4 linked regions of the Nothobranchius furzeri genome follow. The protein of the gene in region 2 purifies or fractionates together with the protein of the main gene of each other region. This does not show direct contact. Links are inferred from orthologs where the notes say so. Each region holds a gene or a part of one and is shown on either strand. Other genes may lie near its edges.

Region 1 (4,324 bases), on a different chromosome or scaffold from region 2:
AACATCAGTTACTGTCCTGGATTTATTGAGCAGAGCTGTACAGAAACTGGGTTTAACACGTCGGCGTTTTCGTCCTCAGCAGTTAGCTGCTCATCTCTTCAGAAGGCTGGTGATAGCTTTCATCTCATCAGAGGATAGAGGAGACAGATTATAACCTCTCAGCTCAGGATTTCCTGAAAGCAAGCAAACAACAAAGAAAAAATATCACAAACAACAAATACTCTACAGACAAACATGAGGTGCTTCAAAGGATCAACTCAAACAACAAATAAATGTTTTCCAAACACCCATCAGCTCCGGCACCGCCATCACTCACGCCAGCTGCTCGTCGTGTGAGATCAAACCAACAACACCAACATCACTGATAAGCTTCAGGTGCAGGTGCTAGCAGAACAGCCACACGAGTGGTTCGTGCAGGTGGGGCTCAGCACACGCCCCTGTGGAGTGAAAGTCTGAAATAAATAAAACCGTGATCATGTGATCCTCAAATCTGATCTCCTTTCCAGCGTTCCTGACTGACCCGGGATCTGTTGTGTCTACTATTGTACAGGTCCGGGGCGAGCCCAGTTGGGGGGTTGGGTGTGTGGGCTGCAGGAGCCCAGTGACTGAGCTGACCACACGGGGAACTTGGTCGTTTTTCCAGGGTTTTGTCCTTTTCGTGGCCCGACCACGGTCATTTCTATTTACAGCTGTGGTCGTCTGTCGTTGTCTGAGTGTGAGACGGAGAGGCTGAGCCGTCCACTTCTTGCAGGAACTGAAAATAATTTATTATTGTGACGCTTCTCTTTCAGAAGCCGCCTGAATGTTTCAGAAGACAAAAACTGTTACGGTAAGCCAAAGAACGCGTGAAAAATGTGTCAGAGCGGCGTTTTGTGATAAAACGGGTCATCACTACTAACTCTTTCTCCACTCAGATCCAACAACTTATCACACGGAAGGATTCACAACACCTGTTGGGAGACAGCTGGTGCTTTGGGCCGACAGCTCACTGAACTAGAACCTTTAGTTCTGAAACAGACACTCAACCCTAACCCAGCACCAGATGGACTCCAGCAGCAGAAGACCACACCAGCTGTCAGCCAACAACAGGAACCTGGGCCTCAAATCCCCACAGCATCACCAGAAGGGACCGGAAAACGTTGCCTGGTCTGACGAGTCTAGACCTCCAACACCAGGATCCCAGTGTCGGTGCTTTTTCATCGAGTTCCTGATTATTTTCTTTGCAGTCAGAGTTTCTTACTGTTTGTGCCTCATAATGAAGAGAAGTGTGCTCACTAGGATGCAGTTCACGAACAACAATGTCCTGCTATGAAAATGGACCTCTCATTAAAACAATATGAAGCTGGAGGATTAGTTTCCAGTGTTGCTTTTCTAACAAACGATAAATATTTTCTAAATGAGCACACTAAACGTTTAGGAAGTGTCCGAGAGACTGCAACCAAATTAATGGTCACATTTATTATCATTATTATTATAATAACCAGAATAATAAACTCTTTAAAAAGCTTTAGCTTTCATTTAGTGCCCATAAAATAAATGTTAAATGAAGAAATGGTTCCAGGTCCATTCTGATCCGGAGACTGCTGTTTCGTGAGGATCTATGAGGTGAACAAGGGTCTGTAGTACCGGTGCTTGAATCATTAGTGTGGTGGATGGAACCGCTGATGTGTCACAACACACATACCTTCGATCTCGTTGAGACGACCGACTTTAGTTCTCAGCTCTTTGCGAAGGTGGTTTATTTCCTTGTCCAGCTGCTCTTGGTCTGCAGGTTGGAGAAACGGCTCAGACTAAATTCGACTCGTGTTAAAAACGGAAGATCTAACTTGTAAACGATAAAGGATCACCTTTCCGGATCATCTGCGTCGTTTTAGACTTGGAGAACTTGATGAACATGTTTCCAAAGCAAACCTTGACTTTTTCTGTGGACGGCAGCAGAGGCGGCCATTACTCCTTCATCACCAGGGTCACCAATAAACAACCACGAGTTTCATAATTAGCCTGAGATTATTTACAGATTACACGTGTTCCTTTAGGCAATAATAACAGACGGATGTTCCAGCTTTATGGGAACGTTTGGTTGTTGTAGCTACAAGGGTTCCTCTGTGGTGTTCTGGTGGCCTGAGTGCTGATGGATCACAAACCTTTATCCGACATCTCATGTTTCAGTGCGTTCAGCGCCTCTCTGTTGAAGTTTCTCTTCATGTCCAGGTCAACAATCTGAAACACACACACACGTTTGTTTTAAGGGAGGACATTATTAACTGGGATATCCGTGCGTGTGTGTGTGGTTTTAGAACAACAGTTTTCTTCAGATATCATGAACGCACCACCTGACTGGACCAGCTACAGAAGGACATTTGACTCTAGACAACATCGGTGTGGTGACGGGTAAATGAAGTGTTGAACCAACACCAGAACTTAGCTCTCTTGGCTCCAACCGCTAAAATCCTCATGCATAAAGCTGCTAACGCACAGAACTGCGTCTGAAAACCGCGTACGTCACATCCACTCACACTTGTTAGCATGAAGCTAGCAGCTGTAACCCGCTACGGGTCTCACCGCGTACGTCACTTCCACTCACACTTGTTAGCATGAAGCTAGCAGCTGTAACCCGCTACGGGTCTCACAGAACCAGCCTGGCCACGGTGGGTCTGGATGTGTTTACCTGTTGTTTGGCGGTGAGAACATCCTCAGCCGCCTCTTCCACTTCAGTCAAGCGCTCCAAAACACGCAGAGAAGCGTCGTCCATCTTTGAGTCTTCTTCTTCTGGGCTAACGGTGGACTACCGCCCCCTGCTGGAGAGAGGTCACCTCCGCATCCGCCGCGAAGCTTTTCACAAATGTATTTTCAGAGGTGTGACCATAGACTGTACATACTCCACATACAAATGTTTTTCTGTATTTTTGTAAATATTCTCATCATAAACTAAATAAATAGGAAAAACATTTTCAAAAGCATGTCCAAGTGGGCTCAAATTCTTCATGTATAGCAGGTGTGACCAAGTCACTGCTTTGCAAGTCATAAGTAAGTCACAAGTCTTTCCATTCAAGTCTAAAGTCAAATCCAAGTCAAAGACAACCAAGTCCAAGTCAAGTCCTTAACTTTGAATTTTCAAGTGATAATCAAGCCATCTGTCCAACTTCTATTTAATGACGATGATAATAAATTAATTCCAGAAAAAAACCTTCTTAAAGCTTCTTTTTTTTTGCTCAAACAAGCAGAAACTGAGACTGGTTATAAACAAAGCGCTGCTGCATTCAGCAGTAAATCAAACCCAGAACCAAGAATGATTTATGATTTTTGTCCATGTCGTGCCACTTCTGTGACAAAATATCAAACATTCTCAAGTCATCATCAAGTCAACAGATGCAAGCCGATTCAAGTCACAAGTCACTGGTGTTCAAGTCCAGTCAAGTCATAAGTCTTTATAGATTTTATCAAGTCAAGTCAGAAGTCATTCAAATAATGACTCAAGTCTGACTCGAGTCCAAGTCATGTGACTCGAGTCCACACCTTTGTGTATTATAGTCAAAATGTACAAGTTACTGTGCAAAACAAACAAATTACAAATCATTTTCCTTGGACCAATAGAAAAAAGTCCATCGTTCCTGAAACTTCAGCTGAATCCCTTCCAGAAACATCTGTTATTGTCACATAAAATAAGAGTGGACTCAGCATTAACGCCTTTAAACCAAGTTTCATGATGGACAGGACTTAAAAGCAACATTACACGCACGGTGGTCACGGGTGTAATGAACTGACCAGGTTTGAAAATGGACCCAAATATTCCAGAAACAGTTTTCAGACTTTCAATTTTCCACATTTTCCTCATTCAAACGCAGCAACACTCAAATAAGTACTTTTTATACTTGTGACAGTTTAAATGTTCTTGATTTAAAGAGCATAAGTTCTGATTTGGAAGCGATAACTTTTCTTTTGGAGCCAAACTTTCCCGGTACACATCCGGTGGAGGAGACTGAGCCCAGCTTGTGGGTATAGCCTCGCTCCACAGGAGCCTCAGCTGGTCCCCCATGGGCCTGGCTCACCAGGTTAGGCTACAGTAACACTTATAGATGAAATGCTTGAGGGTTTGGGAACCTTTTAATGGTTTGAAGTTTGAGTTTAAGACTACTCATGTAAATATTAAAACTGGGCCAATGATTTAGTGTGTTTAAGTGTAATAAACAGAGGTGGGCCAGTATATGAAAAATGATCAAAGTCAAGCTTTTTCATCTGAGGACACTGTAATGACACCCCAGCTCCACGCACCAGGCTAGTCAGAACTTCATAATAAATCAGCTTCTCTGAAACCTGCTCAGGA
Region 2 (4,231 bases):
GGGGTGTACATAATAACGTAAATTCAGCTTTAATAATTTTCATTCTTTACAAAATCTGTTGATTTTAGAAGCATAAACTCATTCGCTGCCAGCTGTTTCCTGATCGCCAACGGCCTTCGCTGCCAGCGTTTCTCACCGTTTTTACAGTTTTTTTAAGAGTCACAGAACGTTGTGCGCTAGGATGATGTCGACGCCAAAACAACCAAAACTAAGAGTAGACTCGCCTCTTACATCAGGAAGAATCCGCGTGTTTTGAGCGTTATCCATTCTTTCATAATCCGTTATCGAATTGTGATCGGCAGACGCTTTTCCGGTTCGCGCCTCACTTTTTTACAGGAACGGCCCAAAACGATCTCCTAATACATGGATGTTCTGCTTCCTGATCACATGACGTGTGACGTATGCAGATGAAGATCGGCGTCAGGGCTGAGATGTTTGTTCTCTCAGCACGGGGGCTCGTTCCGAAGCTCAAACTAAAAAAATGCAAATGACGACTTTAGTCGTCAATGGCAGTGAATGAGTTTATGTCAGTATATCGGTATCGGCAAATATCGGTTGTCGGCTATAACAGTGATCTTAATATCGGTATCGGCCCTAAAATTTCATAGCGGCGCCGGTGCATCACTACTTCTCTTCATCTAGTTTACTGCAACTTGTTTATGACTGTGTTACAGTGAATCTGCAAGAAGAAACTATTTGACTCATTAACTGCCACTGACGACAAAAGTGGTCATTTGCATTTTTTTACTGTGTGGGCGTCGGATCGAGTTCCTGCACCGTGAGAACAAACATCCCAGCTCTAAAGCCGATCTTCATCCATGTACATTATATGTCACGTGATCAGGAAGCAGAAAACCCATGTGATAGGAGATCGTTTTGGGCCGCTGTTGTAAAAAAAAGTGAGCGAACCAGAAAAGTTTTTGCCGATCACAATTCGACAACGGATTATGAAAGAACGGATAACGCTAGAAACACGCGGATTCTTCCTGATGTAAGAGGTGAGTCTACTCTTTCTTCTGGTAGTGTTGGTGTTGACATCATCATAGAGCTCTATGTTCTGTGACTCTTAAAAAATAAACAGTGAAAACGCTGAAAAACGTTGGCAGCGAAGGGCTTTTCTGATCAGAAAATGACTGGCCGTTAAGGAGTTAAAAAGATGAAAGAAAATACATTTATTTGATGTTGATATTGATAGTGTCACTAACTTAAAAGTGACATTTCAAGACTCTTAACTCATCATCATTGCAACCCAGCTCTCACAGCTGATGCACATTCATTCATCCATCCGTTGTCTTCCACGTACCCGGAGACGGGTCGTGGGGGCAGTAACCTAAGCAGAAATGCCCAGAATTCCCTCTCCCCAGCCACTTGGGCCAGCTCTTCCAGGGGAATTCTAGGGCGTTCCCTGGCCAGCCGACAGACAATAGTCCCTCCAACGTGTCCTGGGTCTTCCTTTGAGTCTCTTCCCGGTTGGACGTGGCCAGAAAACCTCACCAGGGAGGCGTCCAGGAGGCATCCTGACCAGATGCCCGAGCCACATCAATTGGTTCCTCTCGATGTGGAGGAGCAGCAGGTCTACTCCAAGCCCCTCCCGGATGACCGAGCTTCTCACCTAGGGAGAGCCCAGCCACTCTGCAGAGAAAACTAAATTTGGCCGCTTGTATCTGCAACTTCACTCTTTCGGTCACTACCAAAAGCTTGTGACCACAAATGAGGATTGGAAAGTAGATCGACCGGTAAATCAAGAGCTTACTCAAAAACAAAACATGGATACTGATACTACTTGTACGTCCTGAATAATATACCGCATGGATGGAGTTATTTTCTATGCTTTCTCTTCCATGTTTGATGTAAACATTGGAAGAATTGAAAAGCATCTGCTTATTAATACGTTTGTTAAAATCTGCTTGAAATATGTGACTCCAGCTCATCCTACAACAGCTTTAACTTCATTCAGGGCTATGATCGGACAAGGATCCTGTTGTTATATCTCACCTTTTTTGAGTTCTCGGTGCCAGACTTTGACGATGAGAGCCGAGTGTTTGCGGTGGTGGATGATCCACAGAGACAGAGTCTGGACGCTCTGCTGAGAGCTGCTCAGCTCCGACAGCTTCTTCTCCAAAGCAGATTCCGAAAAGGACGACATGCCAACTGGTTCTAGAGTGTCTAATTCCACTAAAACTGACCCCCACTGGCTCTAAAGCAACCGAGCTCCGAGCTATTTTGGAGAAACTCGCCCAGTCATCAAAACTCAAGTTGTGTCGCTAAACTCGTAGACTTACAGCATTGGACAGCTTTCTACTGCCGGTTACAGATATATATATCTAACGGTAGGAAAGCACTTAAGGAACTAAAGAGCTAACCAATACTTGCTGAAGATGCTTCAATAGCGTAGCTGCTGAATCTTTGTTGAATGCTGTTTGTTTACAGCGATTGCTAACGTTAGCTAGGCGAGCTAAGCAGCCATCTGCAGAACAGTGCAGCCCTGGAGCTCCTCTTCTCTTAACTACGTAAAACAAACACAAAAATCCACAATATTCCTTTTTGAGGTGTTCCAAGCGATGATGTATAAAAGACAATAGCAAAAAATAATTTAAAAAACAACTCACAAACTAAGTTTCTCGCCCTAAATCATGAAAAAAATGCCTCGAAAAATGGCAGCTTGCACTTTCACCTCGACATGTGCGTCGCAGAGAAATGACGTGACAGAACCCGCGCATTATCGAACTGGCAAAACAAAGGCAAAATACACTGTAAAATACTCTAAACACAAAATTGCAAACTCTTATGAACACACAACTCTTTTTACAGAGTTGAATACGTTTCTAATCATTCTATATTTGTTTGCTCACCCAATTTATTTGGCTTAAAACATAATTAAAATTGTATTCATGTAAAGTGTTTACCAAAATGGCTGTCTGGACTTTTTAATTGACTTTTTATGAAGGAGGAGGGCTGTTAATTTCCCACCAGTGGCGAAAAGCTGGAACTGCACACTGCACAAGTATTCTGTTATCAATTTAGAAAAGGAGATGGGGGATTTGGCGCTTCCTAGTGGCATAATGCTGGTGCTGCACTCTTGTTCTGTTAACTATTGAGAATAATGGGGAGATTGAGATTTGGCGCCCCAAGTGGCAACTAACGTAAACTACACCATTGTTCTGTTAACATTTTAGGTTCATGTGTGATGATGCAGTCATTACAATTGCCACATTAGTAAATTAAAATAAATTTAGTACATTTTAAAAATAAAACTTGACTTGCATTGTCAGAAAAATAATAGTAAAAACACAATTCCTGCAACTCTGTAAGCAAACGATTCCATTAGATTTGGTCTTTTAGTCCACTTTAAATCATTAAATAAAATTAATAATTAGATAATCGCTTGTAGCTTGTGTGTATAATAATTTGTCAGTTGCTCACAATGAAAGAAAATGACTGTAAAACATAAACTACAAATCTAGCATACACTGAACTACATGCATTTATTATAACTTGCCTTGTGAAAGAGACAAATGTAATCCAAGTTTGGATGCTCTTCTTGCAGTTTAAGTACATCTTAATAAATAATTTTCTAAATGGCAGCATCACCTTTTTACAAAGCTGCTGTTTGTCTTACCTCGGCTGCTTTTGGTTTCCCAGCTGAACAAACAGTAACTGTGTGTTTATCTTACCAATCACCAGACATTTGTTCTGACGGAAACCAAAACTCAAATTTTAGCCCAGATCTTTGAGTTAAAACAAACTAATTTTCATGATCATTTGCCTTCTTTTTACTGTGGCTGATAAAATACACACTATTCCATTCAAAACAATGGGTTTGGGATCTGCACACATGGACCTTCAGTCAAATATCAGTGCAAAAGATGTGTATTATCATTTGAGGTTCAAATATCAACCAAAATGCAAACCATGGTGCACCTGTACAGATTTTTTTTCAATAGGCAGCAAACTAGATGGAAAACAAATGTAGTTTTCATCTGGAGTGAGATCTCTGTTATAACCAAAAAAATCAACAAGACCAAAACAAATCAGATCCAGAACTAAGCTCATTGTTTACAGTAAATTGAGTTCAGTTGTGACTGCAATTAAATAAAAAAGATGATAAAATTCCAGTCAGTCATGTTTACCTAATATATATATATATATATATATATATATATATATATATATATATATATATATATATATATATACATACATATTTTTTTCTTCATAAAAGAGCAAGTCA
Region 3 (4,092 bases), on a different chromosome or scaffold from region 2:
GATGAACTACAGAAGGACCAGGTGATGAACTACAGAAGGACCTGGACCTGGTGATGAACTACAGAAGGACCAGGTGATGAACTACAGAAGGACCAGGTGATGAACTACAGAAGGACCTGGTGATGAACTACAGAAGGACCTGGTGATGAACTACAGAAGGACCTGGACCTGGTGATGAACTACAGAAGGACCTGGACCTGGTGATGAACTACAGAAGGACCGGGTGATGAACTACAGAAGGACCTGGTGATGAACTACAGAAGGACCGGGTGATGAACTACAGAAGGACCGGGTGATGAACTACAGAAGGACCTGGACCTGGTGATGAACTACAGAAGGACCTGGACCTGGTGATGAACTACAGAAGGACCTGGACCTGGTGATGAACTACAGAAGGACCAGGTGATGAACTACAGAAGGACCTGGACCTGGTGATGAACTACAGAAGGACCGGGTGATGAACTACAGAAGGACCTGGTGATGAACTACAGAAGGACCGGGTGATGAACTACAGAAGGACCGGGTGATGAACTACAGAAGGACCGGGTGATGAACTACAGAAGGACCAGGTGATGAACTACAGAAGGACCTGGACCTGGTGATGAACTACAGAAGGACCAGGTGATGAACTACAGAAGGACCTGGTGATGAACTACAGAAGGACCAGGTGATGAACTACAGAAGGACCTGGTGATGAACTACAGAAGGACCAGGTGATGAACTACAGAAGGACCAGGTGATGAACTACAGAAGGACCTGGACCTGGTGATGAACTACAGAAGGACCAGGTGATGAACTACAGAAGGACCAGGTGATGAACTACAGAAGGACCTGGTGATGAACTACAGAAGGACCTGGTGATGAACTACAGAAGGACCTGGACCTGGTGATGAACTACAGAAGGACCTGGACCTGGTGATGAACTACAGAAGGACCGGGTGATGAACTACAGAAGGACCTGGTGATGAACTACAGAAGGACCGGGTGATGAACTACAGAAGGACCGGGTGATGAACTACAGAAGGACCTGGACCTGGTGATGAACTACAGAAGGACCTGGACCTGGTGATGAACTACAGAAGGACCTGGACCTGGTGATGAACTACAGAAGGACCAGGTGATGAACTACAGAAGGACCTGGACCTGGTGATGAACTACAGAAGGACCAGGTGATGAACTACAGAAGGACCTGGTGATGAACTACAGAAGGACCAGGTGATGAACTACAGAATGACCTGATGATGAACTACAGAAGGACCTGGTGATGAACTACAGAAGGACCGGGTGATGAACTACAGAAGGACCTGGTGATGAACTACAGAAGGACCTGGACCTGGTGATGAACTACAGAAGGACCTGGTGATGAACTACAGAAGGACCGGGTGATGAACTACAGAAGGACCTGGTGATGAACTACAGAAGGACCAGGTGATGAACTACAAAAGGACCTGGTGATGAACTACAGAAGGACCTGGTGATGAACTACAGAAGGACCTGGACCTGGTGATGAACTACAGAAGGACCTGGTGATGAACTACAGAAGGACCTGGTGATGAACTACAGAAGGACCGGGTGATGAACTACAGAAGGACCTGGTGATGAACTACAGAAGGACCAGGTGATGAACTACAGAAGGACCAGGTGATGAACTACAGAAGGACCTGGTGATGAACTACAGAAGGACCTGGTGATGAACTACAGAAGGACCTGGACCTGGTGATGAACTACAGAAGGACCTGGACCTGGTGATGAACTACAGAAGAACTGGGTGAGGAACTACAGAAGGACCTGGTGATGAACTACAGAAGGACCGGGTGATGAACTACAGAAGGACCGGGTGATGAACTACAGAAGGACCTGGTGATGAACTACAGAAGGACCTGGTGATGAACTACAGAAGGACCTGGACCTGGTGATGAACTACAGAAGGACCTGGTGATGAACTACAGAAGGACCTGGTGATGAACTACAGAAGGACCTGGTGATGAACTACAGAAGGACCTGGTGATGAACTACAGAAGGACCTGGACCTGGTGATGAACTACAGAAGGACCTGGTGATGAACTACAGAAGGACCTGGTGATGAACTACAGAAGGACCGGGTGATGAACTACAGAAGGACCTGGTGATGAACTACAGAAGGACCAGGTGATGAACTACAGAAGGACCAGGTGATGAACTACAGAAGGACCTGGTGATGAACTACAGAAGGACCTGGTGATGAACTACTGAAGGACCTGGACCTGGTGATGAACTACAGAAGGACCTGGACCTGGTGATGAACTACAGAAGGACCTGGACGTGGTGATGAACTACAGAAGGACCTGGACCTGGTGATGAACTACAGAAGGACCTGGTGATGAACTACAGAAGGACCGGGTGATGAACTACAGAAGGACCGGGTGATGAACTACAGAAGGACCGGGTGATGAACTACAGAAGGACCTGGTGATGAACTATAGAAGGACCTGGTGATGAACTACAGAAGGAGCAGCTCTGATCCGCGACAGGTTTGTTTCGGTTCTTTTCTACAGAGAACGAGTCTGTTCCACCTTCCCGCTGAAAGCGGAACGGGAACAAGCTCCACTGCTGGGTCGAACCGGACCGGAAAATCAACACGGAACGGACGTAACGAGGGTGAAAACGTTGTCCTGTTTCCGGTAAACTCTGGATTGGGATTAAAAACCAACCTTTCCTGGAGGTTTTAGTGGAGCCTCCTCTCCTCCTCCTGCTCTCCACCAGCTCCATGTTTCTTCTGTGTTCACCTTTGACCTGTGACGTTTCTACGGTAGCTGAGGGGGTCAAACCGGAAGGCGCGCTGCATCGGAGATGTAAATGTGGTTTGTTTGGGTCATGAAGGAAAGGTTTGTGTGATGTTTTTATCTGCTGTGATTCCAGAAGCTTCCCGCTCTGTTCGCGTCTCCGACTGAAGCTCCGGCTCGCGGTGGCCTCGCGCGGACCTAGCTTGTTTCAAACGGAAGTGCCTCTCTGTTTCCGGCTGATCCGAGGACAGCAGCGATGGCTCTGGAGCAGCTCAGTGATGTGGTCCAGAGATGTGTGAGTCTCATGTTGTCCTGTCATCCCTCCTGCTGCACACCGGCGTCTCAAAGCCCCAGAGGCTGTTTCTGTCCCTCCACCCATCTGACTCGTGACTTAGTGGCGCGAGCTACGCAGGGCAGTGGAGTCTGGTGTGTCCACCTACCTGTCCACTGATGTTCAGATTGTCCCTCACCACCACCACGTGGCTTTAACAGCTCTAGGGAAGAAGCTGTTCCTCAGCCTGGTGGTTGTGGCCTTGATATTCCTGTACCGCTTCCTCGATGGTGGCGGCATCAACAGTTTGTGACCTGGATGGAAGGGATCAGCAGCGATACGGTTAGCCTTCCTTTGTAGTCGGATGGTATATACTCCAGAGTCCAGATCTGGTAGTGGGCCCCCCACGATCCACTGAGCAGTTTTCACCACCCTGGCCAGGTCTTTTTTGTTCTGGACGATGCAGCTGCCATACCACACCGTCATGCTGGGTGATAGGATGCTCTCAGTCATGGCTATGTGCAGCTTTAGTATCGCTGTGCTAAATGGCCCAGGGAGCCCCAGTGCAGCGTTCAGTGACACAAACCAAAATCTGAGATACAAGTTACCAAACAACAGCAACCAAGCGACGACACCCGAATCGGGCGAGATGAGGGAGATCTGTAGCGTTGCTGGTTCTACTCCAGTCTCCAGCGTGCTACCATCACTCAGGAACAAGACACAGGTGGTTTGAGCTCCTCCACCTCAGACAAAGACGGCCCTCCCTTTTTCTCTGCGTCACTCAGCGCCGAAGCGCTCAGGTGCATGCTGGAGGTCATGGACCAGAGCACCAGAAGGTTACCTTTGCTGAGGTTTTCAGATCCTGTGAGTTCTATGTTCTGGCCCACGTGTGTTTTGCTTTGTTCCGTCGGGTTAGGGTTGGCGCCTTGGCCCTCAGATCAAACCCTTCTTTAAGGAAGAACATTCCGAATCAAAAGGTCACCGGGCGGGCAGCATGACTTTACTTAGCAGTAGATGTAGCATGTTGCTAACATGTTTGTTGTTCATAGAAAGCAGTGA
Region 4 (3,987 bases), on a different chromosome or scaffold from region 2:
GATGACGTCACACCGGTGCGCGAAGGTGCGGGTTCCAACCCACAGGAGAGAAGAGAGAGAGGAGGTAAACAGCGAGTTGATCGACTGAACTGATGTCTTTGAGCAAAAGACGCGGTGATCATGCAGGTGTCTCTTTCTGTTCCGACGCTGCAACACGTAATATTTTTAATTTATTAAGCCTATAATTTATTTTTACTCAGTAATGGATATCATTTAAAATGTAGTGAATTACAATTCTTTTTTAAAAACTTACTCAAGTAAAAGTAAAAGTACAGCTTTTAAAAACGACTTAAAAAGTATAAATATACAAAAAAGCTACTCAATTACAGTAACGTGAGTAAATGTAATTCGTTACTTTCCACCTCTGCCAAGTAGCACCAAAGTTGTCAGCGTGAGTAAACAAACGTACTGCATGCTAGAAATTAAGTCCGGGTTGCAATAAACAGGAGTTTTCCTTTAAGCACATAAGCGTGAATATACAACTACGTGTTGGACTTGGTATGCTAATTAAGTTGGGCTGTGAAGCGCCTCCCAAATTCGCTGTTTATGTTTTTGTTTATTTATTTGGCAGACAAAACTTGGATCGGAGACAACTCGCGTGGGAAATTGCAATGTAGCCATGCGGCGTCTTCTTCTTCTGTTTGTCTGGGAGGCGGAGGCTGCTTTACGGCATCTGGCTGTCGTGCGTGTCGGTGTACTTGAAGAAGGCTGTGTATAATAGTCCATAATATCGATACCACAGGGATGGAATATCTCATTTAGATACCACTTTTAGTATCGATTTATATCTGGGTATCGATTTTTTTGACAACACTAGTAGCCACAGCTGCCCTGGGGTGCTTTGACAGAGGCGAGGCTGCCGAGCACTGGCGCCACCGGTCCCTCCGACCACCACCAGCAGACAATGTGGGTTAAGTGTCTTGCCCAAGGACACAATAACAAACTGAGCGGGGCTCAAACCTGCAGCCTTCCGATTACGGGGCGAGCACTTAACTCCTGTGCCACCGTCGCCCCAAGGGAGCATGAGGCAGCATTTTCACGCATGGATCAGCCACCACGGTCCAGACCTCAACCTCATTGAGAATCTTTGTGATGTGCTGGAGAAGGATTTGTGCAGCGGTCAGACTCTACCACCATCAATGCAAGATATTGGTGAAATATTAATGCAACACTGGATGGCAACAAATCTGGTGACGTTGGAGAAGCTCATCGAAAGAACACCACTGCGAATGTGTGACGTAATCAAAGCTAAAGGTGGTCCAACGAAGTATTGGAATGTGTGACGTTTTTTGGATGGCAGCTTTTCTTTGGGCCAGGCAGTGTGTATAAATAATATGAAGTAATAAGGAAACATGAACTAAACAACTGTAGTGACTTTAAAAAAGAACATAAACTCACAATGTCATTCTTGTCGACTCGTGTTCCCACGATCTTCAGCCGGATCTCATCATCTTGCTGGATTACAATGTCCTATAAAAAGTAAGAAGCATCAACAAAAGTGTGATAGAGCAACATTTACACATTAGGGGGAAAAAAAGCAGAACTTTTTACATGCTGAAGTTGATTTTTATTAATATGACTGTTTAAACAAGCAGCAGTAAAATAGAAAAGTTACAGATATTCAACCTCATCGCCAGTCTTGTAGCAAGGTGGATTAGAATTGGGGTCGAACTCCATTTCTGTGGGGATGGACTGAAAATAAAAATATGATCAAAACAACATTAAATAAATAATGAAATAAAAAGATGATTCTAGTGAAACCGATGCTTTAACAGACTTACATGGCGAGAGATGAAGCAAGACATGGGACCGATTTCTGTGAACAATCCAACCTGCAAGCAAACAGAAAAAGGTTAAAAAAGGCGAGGCGCAAACGTACTGGCATAACAATCCTCAATTTGTTTAGTTTTCACAAGCGTGAAGTTCTGCTAAAGAATTAAGATCTGCTACGAAGAACAATGACTAAAGATGAGTGAGCCATACCTTGTTAACCTGAGTGACCACAGCGTCCACCACCTCGCCCTTAAACGGGCGGAAAACAATGGCCTTGTACTTGACTGGATAGAGGACAAAACCTCTGCCTGGCTGGATGACACCCGCTCCGATGTTGTCGATAGTGGTTACTGCAATGACAAATCCATACCTGGGAAACAGAAAAAACAAAAGAGTTAATCCAACTTTTTAACAAGGCAGCAACACGTTGATCTAGTTATGCCATAGTCAATGTTTCATTAACGCTTTCAGTCGTTGCAAAGCCCAGTTAAAGTTATCATGAACAATAATAAAATGCTGTTACTCACTTGCCAGTACAAGTTCCCTCTACCTCTGTGAAAAGCTTCTGCTTCACGGTGTTAAGTAGATTGGGACCGAAGTACCTGGGGTGGAGAAGGATTTCATGCTCCAAAGAAATCTGTAAAGTGCAACAAAATCCTTCATCTGTAAATTGGTTGTGCACACGTTCGTATTTTAAAAATGCATAAACCAGCCTCTGTAGATTGAGTAATGGATGAATAAAATGTCACGTTGATTAAAAATATGAAAACTAGTCCAGGTTAGAAGAAGAGGGAAAGACTACGACGTTGTTGATAAACGATCCAAATCGAAACATCCATTAAGCCTTCAGCTACCCCCGATTACGAGAACAATGTACATACTCACGTGATAAAACATTTCTTGATAAGTTTAAATTCCACCTTAAAAATATACTTTTAAATACGTCGAAGTGGCTTCTCTTGTTCTTTGTTGAAAGGGAATCATGGACGTCCGGCGTAGAAGAACCTCTTCCGGGTCAAAGAGGATTCTTGAAATTTTGTTGTAAATTGTATTGTAACGGGAAATAAAAAAAATAAAATTATCTTCAGGGATTTTTAAAAACTGTTTATTTAAAAACAATTAACGGAATAAGTAATCCGATTTAAACGAGTTCCACCGTCGGTTCATTTTAATACTGCTTTCTTGTGGCGAGGAAGTATTACTGCAGAGAGGCGTGGAAAACAATAGGCGTGACTGAAAGCCGCTCTGTGATTGGCTGTTTTTTAGTGGACTCTTATCTGACACACAGACGAAGCGAAAACAATTTATTTAGGTGAAAGTAATCCAACTTTAGCACAATCGTCATGTTGTTTAGCGGTCATTGGGACCACACTACAGGTGGTTTGAAGTTTTAAAGAACGAAATAGATTAAAATAAACAATTCTGCTACATCATTAGAAAGAAAATAGGAATTTTGTCTCCGTGGTTAAAATTACTCTCCAAGTCCTCCTTCTGTCATGGCGAGCAACCTCGTTTTCAAGTTGCTTCGTCTTCCTGTCACCTCTAAAATTGTAAGTAGCGAACCGTAGATTTGATTGTGTGTTTTGTTTATCTGACTCTTCGGCTGTCTGTGCAGGCGTGTCTCCGGTCGGGTCGCTTGTTTCGGGGTAAGGTGGCTGCAGTGGCGGCTGGGACCAGACCGTCCTCCGGCACCCTTCCGGAGAAGATCAGCCGCTATCCCATTCCTTACAAGAAGGACCTGCCTTATGATATAGTTGAGCTCATGGAGGAAGTGGAGTCAAAGGTTTTAAATTAAAACCAGCCTTTAGGTCTCGCGATCACACGCCTTTATCATTAATCTGCTCATATTTGTGCACAGGGAGGCTTCCTGCCAAATGTCTTCAAAGCCCTCTCCCACAGACCAGCTGAGTTCAGAGCCTTCTTCGCTTACTACAATGAACTGATGAACAAGGACACAGGTTGGTTTTTTCTGATGTAGTGGCCTCAGTTCAGATAAATACAGACACACGATGCAGTGTTTAGAATAAAAAGCAACCCGTTCTTCAGCACCTTCAACCCTCCCAACGTGTCCAAGCCAGGGTTCAGTGAACTAAACACTTCGTTCACTTCTTATTTGTGTTGCAAATAAGGATGTTTGTCCTGTGTTATGACTCAACAGGACTAGAGGATAACCTTTTGTAGAAGCTGTGATGCTGGATTTGTTCCAGCGGATGA

What was found. Proteins that work in one complex are often made in the same cells at the same time.
Region 1: the proteins of rprd1b (region 2) and pdrg1 purify together in Homo sapiens (affinity purification with mass spectrometry; 3 studies listed by BioGRID and IntAct, with this or other methods). This does not show direct contact. The link is inferred for Nothobranchius furzeri from reciprocal best matches to the Homo sapiens genes RPRD1B and PDRG1.
Region 3: the proteins of rprd1b (region 2) and rpap2 purify together in Homo sapiens (affinity purification with mass spectrometry; 5 studies listed by BioGRID and IntAct, counting the BioPlex papers as one, with this or other methods). This does not show direct contact. The link is inferred for Nothobranchius furzeri from reciprocal best matches to the Homo sapiens genes RPRD1B and RPAP2.
Region 4: the proteins of rprd1b (region 2) and polr2g purify together in Homo sapiens (affinity purification with mass spectrometry; 3 studies listed by BioGRID and IntAct, counting the BioPlex papers as one, with this or other methods). This does not show direct contact. The link is inferred for Nothobranchius furzeri from reciprocal best matches to the Homo sapiens genes RPRD1B and POLR2G.

What each region holds. Positions count from the first base shown.
Region 1 is NC_091743.1:5,381,217-5,385,540, reverse strand, and holds pdrg1 (p53 and DNA damage-regulated protein 1), read right to left. Parts: upstream 2,824-4,324; 5' UTR 2,753-2,823; coding exon 2,669-2,752; intron 2,530-2,668; exon of another isoform or gene 2,361-2,529; coding exon of another isoform or gene 2,331-2,360; intron 2,221-2,330; coding exon 2,145-2,220; intron 1,923-2,144; coding exon 1,848-1,922; intron 1,766-1,847; coding exon 1,685-1,765; intron 174-1,684; coding exon 91-173; 3' UTR 9-90; downstream 1-8. UniProt on the Homo sapiens protein: May play a role in chaperone-mediated protein folding.
Region 2 is NC_091755.1:32,651,900-32,656,130, reverse strand, and holds the start of rprd1b (regulation of nuclear pre-mRNA domain-containing protein 1B), read right to left. Parts: upstream 2,802-4,231; 5' UTR 2,147-2,801; coding exon 1,996-2,146; intron 1-1,995. UniProt on the Homo sapiens protein: Interacts with phosphorylated C-terminal heptapeptide repeat domain (CTD) of the largest RNA polymerase II subunit POLR2A, and participates in dephosphorylation of the CTD by RPAP2. Transcriptional regulator which enhances expression of CCND1.
Region 3 is NC_091751.1:71,621,032-71,625,123, reverse strand, and holds the start of rpap2 (putative RNA polymerase II subunit B1 CTD phosphatase rpap2), read right to left. Parts: upstream 2,824-4,092; 5' UTR 2,749-2,823; coding exon 2,691-2,748; exon of another isoform or gene 2,658-2,690; intron 1-2,657. Other genes in the region: glmna (glomulin, FKBP associated protein a), read left to right, coding at 3,019-3,057.
Region 4 is NC_091741.1:90,872,851-90,876,837, forward strand, and holds the start of polr2g (DNA-directed RNA polymerase II subunit RPB7), read right to left. Parts: upstream 2,824-3,987; 5' UTR 2,671-2,823; coding exon 2,659-2,670; intron 2,411-2,658; coding exon 2,301-2,410; intron 2,144-2,300; coding exon 1,984-2,143; intron 1,833-1,983; coding exon 1,782-1,832; intron 1,693-1,781; coding exon 1,627-1,692; intron 1,471-1,626; coding exon 1,399-1,470; intron 1-1,398. Other genes in the region: uncharacterized protein si:ch211-175m2.5, read left to right, coding at 3,270-3,323, 3,389-3,556, 3,632-3,731. UniProt on the Homo sapiens protein: Core component of RNA polymerase II (Pol II), a DNA-dependent RNA polymerase which synthesizes mRNA precursors and many functional non-coding RNAs using the four ribonucleoside triphosphates as substrates.